Linked DNA regions of Arabidopsis thaliana. The protein of the gene in region 3 binds, or shares a complex with, the protein of the main gene of each other region. Each region holds a gene or a part of one and is shown on either strand. Other genes may lie near its edges.

What was found.
Region 1: WIT2 (region 3) and XI-I share a complex: the UniProt entries of both Arabidopsis thaliana proteins name them as parts of the LINC complex.
Region 2: WIT2 (region 3) and RANGAP2 share a complex: the UniProt entries of both Arabidopsis thaliana proteins name them as parts of the ran complex.

The regions. Positions count from the first base shown.
Region 1 is NC_003075.7:16,011,927-16,016,969, forward strand, and holds the start of XI-I (myosin), read right to left. Parts: upstream 3,044-5,043; 5' UTR 2,867-3,043; coding exon 2,723-2,866; intron 2,610-2,722; coding exon 2,463-2,609; intron 1,603-2,462; coding exon 1,457-1,602; intron 1,362-1,456; coding exon 1,205-1,361; intron 1,024-1,204; coding exon 965-1,023; intron 724-964; coding exon 567-723; intron 418-566; coding exon 268-417; intron 178-267; coding exon 41-177; intron 1-40. Other genes in the region: SLOMO (F-box family protein), read right to left, coding at 4,045-4,131, 4,229-4,315, 4,422-4,485, 4,582-5,033. UniProt on the Arabidopsis thaliana protein: Myosin heavy chain that is required for the cell cycle-regulated transport of various organelles and proteins for their segregation.
Region 2 is NC_003076.8:6,504,549-6,509,368, forward strand, and holds RANGAP2 (RAN GTPase activating protein 2), read right to left. Parts: upstream 3,098-4,820; 5' UTR 2,980-3,097; intron 2,891-2,979; exon of another isoform or gene 2,884-2,890; 5' UTR 2,744-2,883; intron 2,427-2,743; 5' UTR 2,400-2,426; coding exon 762-2,399; 3' UTR 544-761; downstream 1-543. Other genes in the region: AT5G19315 (Defensin-like (DEFL) family protein), read left to right, coding at 1-50, 171-352; ARIA (ARM repeat protein interacting with ABF2), read right to left, coding at 3,547-3,646, 3,734-3,858, 3,948-4,065, 4,185-4,249, 4,424-4,503, 4,585-4,648, 4,732-4,820. UniProt on the Arabidopsis thaliana protein: GTPase activator for the nuclear Ras-related regulatory protein Ran, converting it to the putatively inactive GDP-bound state.
Region 3 is NC_003070.9:25,907,588-25,912,771, forward strand, and holds WIT2 (WPP domain-interacting protein 2), read right to left. Parts: upstream 3,522-5,184; 5' UTR 3,456-3,521; intron 2,952-3,455; exon of another isoform or gene 2,906-2,951; 5' UTR 2,899-2,905; coding exon 2,421-2,898; intron 2,333-2,420; coding exon 1,221-2,332; intron 1,129-1,220; coding exon 982-1,128; coding exon of another isoform or gene 978-981; intron 794-977; coding exon 647-793; 3' UTR 544-646; downstream 1-543. Other genes in the region: AT1G68907 (Defensin-like (DEFL) family protein), read right to left, coding at 1-153, 247-304. UniProt on the Arabidopsis thaliana protein: Together with WIT1, required for the nuclear envelope docking of RANGAP proteins in root tips. Plays a role in nuclear shape determination.

The sequences.
Region 1 (5,043 bases), on a different chromosome or scaffold from region 3:
GCATAATTAAAAATGAGTACTATCAGAAAATTTTATGTACTTGAAAAGATCAGCAGCCATCTGCAGATGATGTCTAGATTCCGGATCCTTTACCACTGAAGAGTCGTGCTCTCTCCCTGAGGAAAACTCAACATTTCCAAGATGTAGAATCGCAGCAAGTGTGCGAAATATCCCTTCCTGATAAATGATTTGTGCAGGAAACAAGCAAGGAATTTCAGAAGCTGGCAGAAGAAAAACATATGAAAATTCAATTAGAAGTCGTTATACCTGCTCATCCTGACTTATGCCCACAATATCCATTGCCCTCCTTGTATTCTTATACTCTTCTGCGCTGCTGACTCCTTCTAATTCATAGGTCTTGCTTTGATTTAGATAATGAAATTGACGAGGGTTGCTTAGTTTATATTTCTCAGCGTCCTAAGCAAAATAAGAACATTTACAGATTAGTAATTAGCGTAGGTAAATTGACAAACTCAGCGAGAAAAACCTGGCGTAGCTCAATCAGATAATAAGAAAACCAAAACCAATCTCTTATGACATGTATATAGAGCTGTAAAAAGAATTACATTCCCCGAAGCGCACAATTGATAAAAACAATGATAATTCCTCTCGGGGTCTGTTATCCGGACAACACGTGATCTCTCCAGAAGATAGGTTCTGATTGCGGCACCAGATATTCTACCATTTGTGTCAAACTGGATTTCGACAAACTTTCCAAAACGGCTGAACAGCAAAAGAAGATCAGTAGATTGGTCAGTAGATTCGTCTAAAAGCTAGGCACACAAAATTTCAACCAAAAGGTTTACTAAAACCATATCAACATCATAAAGTGCTGTTATCACTGGGTATTAAGGATACTATCATGAAAAATTTGTTGACAAATGACATAAGAGCAATTAAAGATACACCTCTCAATTTTCATTGAAAAAATAAACAGAAAGAAAAAAAAAAATCAATAACCCACCTGGAATTATCATTTCTAACTGTTTTTGCATTGCCAAATGCTTCCAAGAGAGGATTTGACTGCAGAACAAGAATACTTAAATTAGAATAGATAACTCGCAAATAAAGAAAGTCAAACATGATCACCCCTAAATATTTATCTGCAAACAAATACCAGGGGAGGAAAACAAAGGCATCTATCCAGTTCTTTTTTTCTCATTGAACAAGATAGAAGACACAAATTTTATAACCAAAATCTTACTTCAAGGACTTGCTGCTCAACACTTCTATCATCGTCAGTAGCACGTCCCCCAACAAATGTAAGATACTGCATGATTAGTTTGGTTGTCTCAGTTTTTCCAGCTCCACTTTCACCGCTAACAAGTATTGACTGACTTCGACTGTCGTCAATCATTGCTCTGGGTTATAAAGAATAACTATGGTTAATAGATTAACATGACTGATAGTAAGATTTTAAAAAATCAGAAACATTAGAGAAAAAAGAGTGGATCACCTGTATGCAACATCAGAAACTGCAAAAACATGAGGACTGAGCTCACCGAATGGTGCTCCCATGTACTGTTCCATCATGTGCCCATTGTAGAGATGTGGAAGCTTTTTGAATGGATTAACAGCGATCAGAATGCTTCCAGTGTATGTCTGAAAAAGAAGTCGAACGTATTTGTAAGAAGATAATGCAGTCATGAATGATTTACTATTGGAACTGCGTAAAAAGCTGACAGTTATGAGTGGCAAAAAGAATGATACAGGAATTATTACCACCAATACTTCCAACTAAATATTATCATCTCAATGGGGACATAAATAAATTAGACACCAAGCTGCCACCAAATGTTTTACAAAAGGGCAAGCCAGCTGAGTACAAAACTGTCTAAAAAATAGATACTTTCACCTACTAAATACGGAACAGAAGCTCTCCATAACTTTAGAAGGAATATTGAACCTACAAATAATTCACAGTCACAGGGCAGTCCAACAAACTAACAAAAAGTTGTTACGAATACACAAGGTTGATTATCCCGCTCCCGCCAATAATATTGTTAATATTGAAAAAAGCAATAGTTAGGGTTAGATCACAAGATGTTTGAAGTGCGATTAGATACCAAATAGGCAAGTAAATGCCTGTAATGATATATGCATTATGTCACAATAAATTTCTTCACTTCGATATCTATCTTTTTCGGCTAAATAATATATCAGGTCACATCTAGATGCATCCATCATAAAGAACCTGAATCCACTTCACATGGAAACATGTCTTACACCACATATTAATACACAAGAAACTCCAAAAGCAACAGTAACTCGTTCTAGAGGAAAACTCCGGCCAGTGAGTACACTAATACCACTACGAAAATGAGTAAACTTCCATACGGAATGAAATCCGACTCAATAAAGTACCCCCGGAAGTATAGAAACTAAAAATTCAAACTCCAAATATACTCAGAAAGACCTCTCAATAAACAATACCAAAGAAAAAAAGAGTGAAAAGAACTCACATAGATATCATTCAGAGCATATCTCCTCTGTAGATTATAAAGAACACCAGCTTCGTGCAAGTATGTCAGTTTGGTCATATCATCCACTCCATTATGCTCTTCATCGTCAGGATCCCTCCGAAATAGCTTTTCCGGGGAAACAAAAACCTAAAACCCCAGAAAAAAAATCGCACAACAGCAAAAATTAGCATGAATAAAGCATGAAGAAGAGGAAGAAGAAGAAACAGAGCTAATTCAGCAGAAATAACGGTTAATCAGACCTTCTTCCCAGTAGAAGTTTCAACATGGAGTTTGTTATCAAAAGAATCGAGGACATCAGCAGCAATCCAAGCCAAATCCTTATCTTCGACCCAAACCTTGTCGCCCTTGCGCAGATTCAATTCCATTGGAAGACAATTTCTCATGAACTCGTGAAGAGCTCGACGAGAAAACCCTAGAGAATTAGATTGGGGGAAGCAAGAGTCATAGAGAGAGAAAGAGAGTCCGTGAGGTTGCGCCAGAGAATTTTTCAAATTTCAAAATGAAGAAGAATTGAGAAACCCTAAGGAGATAGAGAGAGAAGGGGCGAAATTTTACTACTGTGGAGTTTTTTTTTTTTAAAGGTTCAAAGTTACTTAAACCGCTACCCAAAAAAGTTCCCAAAAGCAACAAAAAAAAAAAAGAGCATCAACAACAACAATTACTTCCCGCCCTCTCGGATTTTGCATTAAAAAACAAAAGAAGACTAGATCCAAAACAAAAACACAGAAGTTTTTAGGGATAAAAATTTACGTCACATTCCGGAGTAAATGCCAAGTTTATTATCTTTGATTCGAATCATTTATAGGGTTTAATCCTTACTCGCAAAATTGATTTCACATTAGTAAAACAAACTGTGTAGTTAATTTACTGACGCTAAAAACTTGTTATTTTTAGTAATTTAGCAAATTAAAAATAGTAAGTCAAAAATGTAGAAGGCAATATTTGAATATAACATTCTTAAACGATAGTTAGTGAGGTTTATTTATATTTATTATAATTACTAGATCTCTTTTATAGAGAAAATATTCCAAAATTTGTTGTCGATTATTGTTGTTGTAATTTCATATATGGTGATGAGAGTCCAAATAAGAGTTTGGGGGAAGAAGAAGTCCAAATTATTATCATCCAATACGCATGAGTCCAAATTTACATTCCAGATTTCTTCCTTCATTCATATTTTAGACTTTAGTTTCCAAAAAATATACTAAATTTTTCTTACCCCCTACTTATTCCAAAAGTTTTATTTAATTTTTATCTTTGTTATGTGAGTCAATGTGGATCAAAGCTTAAAAGGTAAATTGATAAGGTAAATATAAGATCTACATATAACAGTAGCAACAATATCATCAACCACGTACACAAAAAAAGTACTAATGTTGTTTAGGTTTGTGTCATCACACAAGCATCCTAAGAAGGCCACAGTACAAACTCCAGAGGCCTATATGCACTACTGAAACTTATGACTTGGAGCCATTTACAACCCAAACACCACACCACACAACACATTATTTCTATAATCTGCAGAAAAAGTTGTATATAATCAAACATTTGGCGCAAAACCCTAATCTTGCAAGAGATTTGGACTGCTGAAAACGCGTTTCAAACTAGGGCACACTGTTCGGAACTTTGACATGCTCACCGAGGATATCTGTTAATTCACCAAGACAAGGTTTTAATTGTTACATAAAAATGGATTACTTGCTAAGTTTTCAATATCGAAGTTAACACTCGTTTATTGTTAGTACCTTTGGACAGAAACGAAGATCCAATGTCTCGAGTGAGCTGCATCCTGATATAGCCGCTTCAACTCCTGCTTCGTCCATGTTACAAGACTACCAAAGACAAAAGGTACCAAAGTGTGTTTAGTGGTAACATATAGACCCAAGCTTAAGGTACCAAAGTGTGTTTAGTGGTAAAAGTTACGGAGCAAAAACATACCTGAAGAAAGAGACTAGCTAATCTTGGACAGCCGAGCTTCAATACTTCCAGAGAGCAACAGTTGCTAGACAATTCGAAATGGAATTAGCAATAGAATAAGACCACTCATTTCATGGAAGATAAAGAATATAAGTTATCTAGCAAATGCAAAAGCTCAAACCTTAAATTAAGTAAAACCAGGTTGGAACAGGTGAGATCAACCTCCTTCAGATTGACCGATAACGAAAGGTTCAGTGTTGATAAATGGTAAAAGCGAGCTGCAGGTGGTATCAGCACTTTTCTAATATTGGGGCAACCCACACAGTTTAGGTTTTGCAGTAACCGATTGGCTGTTTCAGCTGGTTCCTGGGTATTGTCACTAGAACTGTAGACCCCAAAGTAATCAAAAAGATGTACACTGGTTGAACCCCAATCCAGGTCATGCATGTTTACACATCCGTTCAAGCTCAAATGGGTCAAGTGTGTGCAGCACGCAAGTAGATCATCTATCGCAGTCTGACAGAGAGTTCCATATGACAGGTCCAACTCCTCAAGTGCCGGTAAAGCACCTTCTTTGTATAGAGGCTCCAATGATGAGTCAGTAAGATACTTACAGGCTTGTAATTTGAGTACCTAAACAATA
Region 2 (4,820 bases), on a different chromosome or scaffold from region 3:
CATGAAAATAATGTCTTTTGCTATGCTACTTGTTCTTTTGTTCTCTATTGGTTAGTCTCTCACCATAAATTTTGATATTTTTGGGGATACAAAGATGTATTATATAAAAAGTTTTTGTTTGATCTTTACGTGAATCTTAAAGATGAAAAATTGTTGTTTGCATGTTATAGATGTCGTTGAAGGATCCGGAAGTTCGTTGTGCTGTAACACACATGCGAAATTTGGAGCTTGCAACACATACCAAGACAGAAAGAGATGCAACAAATGGTGTCTTGATGGATGTGATAATAAGAAAGGCGGTTTTTGCAAACGTTTTGCTGGTGGAGCAAAAAAATGCCATTGTTACTGTTAAAAAAAATATGTTTTTATGCTTGCGTTTGCAATCCTCGATTGCTTATTCTAACTAGTATTAAACTCAAAATCTTGTCTTCACTGTTGATTATATCTTTAGTATGTGAAATGGTCACTCCTGAAAACTTCTTTCACGTTAGTTTAAACTTTTCAAGTTAACAAAATTTGTTTAAAATCGTATCTAAACCAAAACGGTACCAAACCAAATAGAATATAAAATTGTTTTGCTCATAGGTATGACCTCAGAATAGCGATACAATCGTGTTTAAACAAAAAGGACCAATAAGCTATCGGCAAAAATAAAACTAACACCAATGTCTCAAATATGTTTTGGTCTTTGTAGCAGCAGCTAGAGTAATAATACTGGTACAAAACAAACAAAAACATTGAAAAGTACCAACATCACAGACTTAATCTTCCTGATTAACTTCAAGGTTCTTCAGCTTCGATTCCAGCTCACCATTCCCATTACCTTCGTTCTCTTCATCTTCTTCGTCTTCCTCATCATCATCATCTTCTTCTCCATCAGGATCATTCTCATCCAAAGCTCCAAGTAACTCTGGGGATTTCTTGAATATCTCTTTCAATTCTTCAATGCCTTCTTCTGATATGATGTTCCCGTCAATGTTCAACAGCTTGAAAGCTTCTTTCTTCACAACAACATGAGCCAAGGCTCGTGCTCCGGCTCTTCTTATGTAGTTGGTGCTCATATCGATGTATTGCAGTTTTGAGTGACCCTCTTCTATACAATTTGCAATCTGGACACATCCCTCATCTTTCAGCTCATTCTCAGACAAATTCAACTTGTTCAGATCTTGTTTTGCTGCAACACAGGCTGCGATAGCTGAAGCAGCTTCAACTGTTATGTCATTTCCTGCCATCTCTAGAACTTCAATGGGCGAAGCAGACTCCTTTAGAGCGTTTACTATGGCTATGGCACCTTCATCCTCTAGATTTAGATAACTCAAGTAAAGCTCAGTCATGTGTTTGAAGCTTGAAAGAGTTTTGCTCAAAGAAACTCCGGCTTCTGTGCCAAACATATTATCCCGCAGATCAAGTTTCTCCATATGAGTACAATGCTCAAGTGCTTCTGACAAGGCGATTCCCCCTTTTGAGCCGACTCTTGTGGAAGAACAACGGAAATTCTCCAGCAGTGGGGAACGCTTGACAACCTCTGCAATAGCGAGTGCCCCTTCATCTCCCGTCATGTTATTATGAAAATGAAGGACCCTCAAATTCTCTGTTGAAGGAATCAACTCGGAGACCGCTTGCGCAGCTTCCTTAGAGATACCATCATTCATCAAATACAGCTCTTCCAAAGAGCTCAGAGATTTTAAGAGTGCCCCAAACGCTCTAACACCCTTCTCACCCAATGCATTATCTGATAAGTTGAGAGACGAGAGAATACTACCTTGCAGTGCGTCAGAAAATATATTCATAACCTCAAGAGCTTCAAGCTCAGGTCGTCCAGCAACAAAGTCAGACAAGTCAACTTCCTTAAGCTGATCTTTCAAAGACGCCAAGATAGGCTCAGCGACACGAGCAGCTCCCAAGCCAAAACTCCTATTACTAAAGCATATCTTAGTGTAGGCATTGCCAGGTTCCTTCAAAGGTTTGAGAAGCTCCTCAGCTTCCTCAGCCTCAATGAAAGCCCGTTTACCTTTAGAAATATCGAAAAAAGTTTCGCGGGGAGACACAGAATCCTCAGAAATCAATTCTCTTGCCGCAACTTTAGCAACAGGTCCTTTCTTGAGAACTTCTAAGATAAGCTTACTGCATTCTTTGGCATAAAGCTGTACAGCTGAACCACCATCACCATCAGGCTCCCTCTCAAACTGTTGGTTAGCAGTGGAAAAAGCAATATCTTCGATCCTCTTAGCGTTCTCCGTAGCCTGGTCTTTGGTTAAGCTACCGTACTTCTCAGTGAAAATAGTCTTGGAAGAAAAATTGTTGGTTATACGCTCAATGAGAGCTTTTCTTGTAGGTAAACTCGGTGGCCAGAGTTTAATCGAAAATGCATGAGGTCGAGAATCAAGTATATCAGCCATTATCGCAAATCCAGAGTTTTAATATCACTGCAAAAACATACACACAAAAGTTAGAAATAATCAGAGGAGGCTCTATCGTAATCACTAATCACTTAGGAGGATTAACATTGAGCCCAAAGGAATAACTAATTGATAAATCAGAAAATGCTGTGACTAAATCAATAACAGAGATTAAGGAGAGTAATCTCGTAAAGATCGGAGATCCTATAAGTGGATAGTTTCGAGAAGAAGCATTAAATCACCAACTACGAGGAAGGAACATCGGTGCTTAATCACAGGGTAAAATCGGATCAGACAAATAATTATCCGTTTGCGATGAGAATAAACGGAAATGAAAAGCGTACCGGACCGATGAAGATTGTCTGAATCTCGGAGCTCTGAGACTCTCTCTGGCTGCAAAATCGAGTGTGTTTTTAGGGTTTCTCCTTCACCGGAGCTCTTTAAAACTCCCTCCTACGTTCGTTGAACCAAAAGTCTCTATAGACTAATTTAAAAAAAAAAAAAAAGAGAAAGGTTAATAATTCATCGTGACTTGAGTAATTAATCACTTTGGAAGAAAACGTAATTAATTAGAACCAACCTGGTAATTTTGAATCTTTCATGTTAAAGAAAACTCCTTTATGTGTAATGTAATTTTCAGTGGCTTGTGCTACAAAATACTTACAAGTTACAGTCTCTAATCATCAGTAATACTTTCGATTGATTCTTTATTTGTAAAACAAAAATGGGATATTATGTTCTGTGTTGAATCATCTCTTAATTATTCAGACATGAACTCACTGGTCACCACTACCAATATCAAATCGTTACAGCTACGCTTAGTCACAACCTACCCAAAGTATCTTTTCTCAACAGAGAGGATAGTTGGAGAGTGGATTTTGAATTGAATAGTGGAAGTTATACCACAATGGTATTTTTGGATACAAAGGGTAGCGATTTCATTCAAGACCGATTGTGATCAGAGGAGATTAATTAATACAATACAAAATGACCAAAACGAACCAAAAAGCACAGCAAATAACTAAGACAACCCAGTACAGGACGATAAAGACCTCTAATGGCGGCTCTTGATCTCTCTCTCTCTTTCTCTCTATATAATTCCTTGTCTACTTACCTCTAGTTAAGTGCAGTCTTCTTCTTCCGCATTCTACAACCTCAAGCTTTGCAGGTTTGTAGTAGACTTTGTTAGGGCTCTACAAAAGTACTCTCTTATCTCTGGTATTGTTCTCTGCACCAGCTCGTTCTGCCTGCATTTTCCATTCACTTTTGTTTCAGACTAATAGCAATAAAACAAATCTTAGTGGAGAGAGAGAGTGACATCTTGTTTATATTACCAAGGCATTGAACTCAGTTTATCGAAATGCTCCAGGATGAACATGATACAAGCTTGCCTCAGCGACATCGCATGGAATGCTTCTGATAGCTCGTACATGTCTCCTATACTTTCCAACGTAATATCCTTTCATATTCAAAGTAACCGTGTCAGATTTCGTTAAGTACTACGCAAACCACATCATCACTTTACATTGTGATATAATTCTGGCTCACCTGAGCAATTGTGTATTCACAGAGTCGTTTCAGGCCCTCCAAGAGATACTGATCCGCTGCTCTTAGAAGATCTTTTGATATCTCATTTGTTATGTCGACAGATCCAGTGTATATAAACCTGAAAATCATAATCCAAGGGAGTCAATTACGTGTATATGAAAAGTTCTCACAGACTTTTCGAAATTTCAATATCTCGAGTGAGTCAATCAAAAGCATGCAGAGGTTCATTCATCATACCTCATCATTAACTCAAACACCTCCCATTTGATATTTGGAATCTCAATATCTCTAGCGTCTTTTTCCTGTGATATAAACGAAACACAAACCGTGACACAATTCAGGTCTAATTTCCCCAAAAGATAATTGTATTCCTTTGATAAATAGCAGACCAGCATACATCCATACGTCATTGTCATCAAAATATCATTTACCCCACAAGAACATTATCGAAAAACCAAAATATTTAGTTCACTTACTCTGTAACCACCATCAAACATTGCACGAAATGCATCTGAGGATGCCAGCAGACAAATTCTGTGTGCATAGAATGTCCTTCCTGCAGTATGATTTTTCTGTTTTACATATGGACTTTGAAGCTAACTAGAGTTCCACAACTTCTGGATTTATATATGATTACCTTCGACTAGAAAGGTTACATCAGACAGCGTAGCATTATTTACATATTGCTCTCCGAGATAAACCTGTCACAAAAAGACATACAGAATACTGCATTGAGACTTCCACCCGTTACCTATAGGAGAACTGAAGCAGAAAGGAAACTCACCCTTTGTGTTGGAGAAGGAGGAGCAGCATCAACTGGAGAAAGTGCCATAGATTTATTTGCTAATTTGTACAACGCTGCTGCACCGTCAA
Region 3 (5,184 bases):
TATCTGTGCGGCAAGACTCATTGGTCTCATATATGTCCATTGTTGGTGCTATAAGAGGCAAGCAGTTACAGTCCTTCTTTCCATCAGGACAATGGCCGCCTATGCAATTCACTTCTTCTTTCGCCATCTCTCTCGCGGCACTCAAAGACAAACCTTCACAAGTACACACCATAATAAAACTTCAAAACAAAAACCAAAGCAAAACATTTTATAACAAAGAAGAAGTTTTTATAGAGGAAGCATTACACAATGCTATGACTGTGAGGGAGAACAAGAAGACAAGCTTGAGAGACGTTTTCTCCATTACTAATTGTAACCTCAAAATCTTTTCTTGTTTCTTTTTTTTTTGTAAAAGTGATGAACAGAGAATTCAGATTGTTCTCTTATAGAGAAAGAAGTTAAATGGCAACAAATCTTTTGTGTGAAGGTTTTACCAAATTTAGTCTGATTCTTTTTTAGTCCAACTGGTGAGATCACTCCATCTTAGGAAATCACTTAATAATTGAAATGTGTTGTTTTTGTAGAGGAGATAAACCAACACTTGAGATACATTGCTTGTAATAAATACAAGATAAATGAGTATTTACAACACAATGTACAAATGGCGAATGCTATGGCCAAGACATTTTCACTAAGATATATTTCCTTAATAAGTCACACCAAAGAATGAACAAAACAGCACAAAAACTAAGGCCACAACTAGTATGTGTTTCAATTTGATTGCTCTTCTGATCTCGCTACTCTTTTCAGACACAGACTGCTTCTCTGGTTCTTCCCTTGTTCTCTCATCCTCCTGTTCAAAGAAAGCAAAGACCCACATAAGATTAGTAACCAAGAGATGTCTGGTTTTCACATCCATGACCCAACAATGATCTATATTTGCCCCATCGACCATTCTGAAGCATCAAAGCTATACACTAATACACAAGAAAGTACAAGGAATTTCGTGTTTTTCTTGTGGAAAATAAACTGAATACCTGCCTGCAGACTTTCAGCAAGTGCCTCTATTTCGTGACCATCTGCGTGAAACGACAGCTCTTTGTCCCCAGCATAAGATCCATTTCTTTGGTATGTATTTGAGCACTGATTCACTCTAAGTATTTTGTTTTCTTTTGCCAAAGAATATAGCTGGAGAAAGAAAAAACATTAATGTGTCAACAATGCTATGCTCTTGTGTCCCTGGCCTAAAGAAAACAATAATGCACTTAGCCAAAAAGTACCTGCTCTTGTATACGCTCCCTTTCACTGGATAATTGCAACATCATATCCATCAAAACTTTGTTCCTTGTAGTTATTTCTTGTGCATATCTCTCTTTCTCATTGTTAGCTAGATCCAACATTGCTTCTAAGGATTTGGCTTTTTGCCTCAAAAAGCTCACGTCTTTGTTGAGTTCAGAGTTTGTGGTAGAAAGCACAATGCATTGCTCCTCCACTGTCTCCGTTCTACTCTCGGCTTTTGAGGCTTTAGACTTGAGATCTTCTATTAAGGTCTCCATGTCCCATATTGCTGAATACAACATGTTCTGCTGTTCTTGATTTGCTTCTGATGATACCTTGGAGTTTTGTACTTGAACTTCTAATTCCCTGACTTGCTTCTCGAGAGAGTTCACCTTCTTCGTCTTTTTATCATCCGCATCTTTGAGAAAATTTAGTTCCTCAGTAAGTTCAAGATTTGCAGCATCTAGCTCTTTAATCTTAGCTTCTCCACTCTCAGCTCTGCTTTCAGCCTCGAAAAGGTTTTCTTTGACCGACTCATTTGCATTTTCCATTTCAGCTAGATGTACCAGGATTTCTTGTTTGGAGGCGTTGACACTTTTCAGCTCAAGGTCGGTATTTTTCAGCTTTTGTTCAGCTGACTTCACATATTCCCTCAAAGTGAGTACTTCTGAAACTATTTCACTATTTTCTGAAATTGTTCCCTCAAGCTTTTGCACCAGAAGATCTTTCGCTTCCAGTTGTACAGTGCAATCTTCAAGCTTAGACTTAAGTTCGGATTCCCGTTGTGCTGACCCATTCAGACTAAACTGGAGAATCTGTAGACGACCAACAAGTTCCTTTGAAATACCTGTAAGAACCTCAGAAGAATTATCTGCCTCTAGAAACCGTCCCCATATAAACTCTGATGCTTCTTCCATCCGAGAAGATACCTCCTCTGTGTAGTGTAGCTTGAGTTTCAACTGTTCCTCATTTTGCTGGAATTCCATTAACTTCTTCTCAAGCTCTAGCTCTCTTGACAATGACTTCTCCAGCATCCTCAGAGCATTTTTATGCCTCAAGTCCGATGGTTTCAGCGCATATTTCTGCCTTAACTCCACTGACTCCTCGTTTTCACCTGCCAACATTTTTGTCAATAACAACAAGAAGCTAAGAAAACCAAAGCAGCAATAACTTTAAAACAACCATATATCAAAAGTGATTACTTGTTCCATTTCTTATGTAATGAAGTGTTCTTCGGAGCTGAGCTAATTGCAAAGTGATCTCTGAGACTTGTCCTCTAGACTGCTTCAATGATTCTGCAGATTCACCCAACTTTCCTTCAATAACAATATAATTTCCGTGTTTGCAAGAAGATATCTTGTAAGAAGTGTCAACTATTTGAGCTTCCAACACATCCAAAACCTCGTCCACCTCCTTCACTTCTGACTCCAATATACCGCATAACAGATCAAACGTCAAAGCTTTTTCAAAGGATGCTGGAGAAGAATCAAGTGTCCCCATCCCTTCAAGATCATTATCCCATGCCAAAAGATGCATAAGAAGAACATGCAGATTCATCAACTTTTCACTAGTATAAGCTGAGTCTATCTCTAGTTTTGTCAACATCCTCAACATCTCTTGCTCTTCCTCATTCCTACTAGACAAAGCTTCAAAATAGTCCTCCCTAATGATTTCCTCCATTCTTGGCCTAAAAATCAAAAGTTCAAAGCTTAGCTAGGAACAAGAAAAAAAAACTAATCCAAAAAAATGGATACTTAGGTGAAATGACACTATCTTTCTAATGCGAGGTATCGCAGTTCCAATCCTAGCACTAGTCATAGCTCAATTCTTCTATATGAAACCAATCATTCATCAACTGAAACCAGAACATCCAAGCAAATAATTGAAAATGTAATCCAAGTACCCAAAAACACATTATAGTAAGTGCAACTAAATCAAATCCTTACTTTGAACAAAACCTAAGCAAAGAGAAGTGAAATTTGAGAAGAATCCACTTGTCAAGAAAGAGACCAATAAGCCAAGTCAGTTAATGTTACATACTTGTAAAGACTCAGCATTTTCAAAGAGATCCACCAGAAATTCTTACTAATTTAACAATTTACTACAACGAGATTCAAACTTTACCATAAAACCAGAACAAAAATATCAAAATTCAACAAGAACAAAACTAAAACTTGGAAACAGACAAAACAGAGTGTTGAAGATTCAAAGAGGATCTGAAAAGATCAAAACTTTACCGATGAAAATCTGTAGTTCGAGTAGATGAAAAAACAGAGAGAGCTTTTACTCCGTCAACGAACTCCAATTTTGCCTTTCAAGAATGGTACGGTGTTTTCTGGCGTCAGAAAAATTGATGCTAAAATGCGCGGAATTTGTTTACAAGTCATCCAACGATAAAGAAAGAGCCGCGCATGCTAGCGTTTTCGCTTACGTTAGCGTGAGTGTTATGTTGTGGTGGACGTTGAATTATTGGTAAGGAAGAAGAACGACTGCTTAAGCTGCTCTTATTGGTTACAGCTAAAAAGGCCTAAATATAACTGTAATATAGTTAGCAATTAATGTAATATTTCAAAAGTTTTTTTTTCAAAAATTCTGATTTAGAATTATATTTCGTCTGTAACGTCTAGATAATAACATGATACACTCACATTTAAGATTATAATTTTATTCAAAAATTCAAAAAATTTAATGTATCTTTTTTTTGTTAGTGGACAATTTAATTCCCAAAGTTAATGCAATTTATTATAGAATAGCATGTGTGTAATGATAATATTATTGAATTTATGACATGTATCCACTCTAATTCAATTTCGTGACCGTGAGTGACTAAACATGAGAGAGATAAATTGTTTCACTGTCAACATATGTTTGAGACTTGACACCAACGTAATTGTGGATATGTAGAGGAGATGTTAAATTGATAGTCTACATGATGTGATTACTTTGTTTATGATGGTTTAGTTATATGGTGGTGAAAATGTGAATGATCTGTTTTTGAAAGCAGTTATAATGGTGAAGTGTTAAGTATATGACAGAAAGATCACTAGGATGAGACGAGGGTGATTGTGATTGGGCTCTTAAGTGGCCGTGACTACGTATAGAGCAACTTGGTGTGATATCATGTACTGAAATACATAGATCATAAGATTGTTTGTTTAGTATATATATGGACATTTAGTTACGTTGTTCATGCCTTGTTATATAGTGCATGCTAAGACATTCGAGGTAAGGAATCTATGCATGCGAGATTAGATGATTATTATTAAGACATGTCAAGGTAATTATTGCTAAAATAAATTTCTTTATTCCCTAGTTGTCGTTGATAACTTGACCATTTTAGAGCATAGTTAAACTAAAATTTAGTTCCTTTTTTTTTTATGGTTCCAAGCGTTATACAATTTGATAATATTACTGATAATATATTTTATATCAGGTTTGTCATATATAGTGTTTGAATTAGACATTCTTTATATGTAAGATATACTACTAGTGAATTACTTAAAAAACTGATACTATTTTCTTGTCGTCAAACATAGATTTTAATACTATATATATGCCTAAAAGTCCAAAATAGTTTTTCATTATGAAATGGAAAGAGTATAACACATGTGGTGATAATGGGTGGTATAGTTAGTAAAAACTAATTACGAGCTCTCTTGTATGGCTCTTATGTGTAAAAAAATGACTAGTTACATAGTGGAGATAAACAATATTGACGTTTAATTATGCAGCAAGAGATTAAACTATGATATAGAAAGTTAAACTATGGTTAATAATTAGGGAATTAAAAAATAGAAAAAGAGAAGATAAAGTGAAGGTGTGGGCTGGAGAATTCAATTATTATAAGGTTTAATTTCTTAGGTCTTTGGAAATTGCAAGTCCCAAGGCCAACTAATAATGACCTCGATCTTTGCGTTAACCGGACCGTCCATCTACTCTTCCTTTATTTTATTTTAATCATTTTTC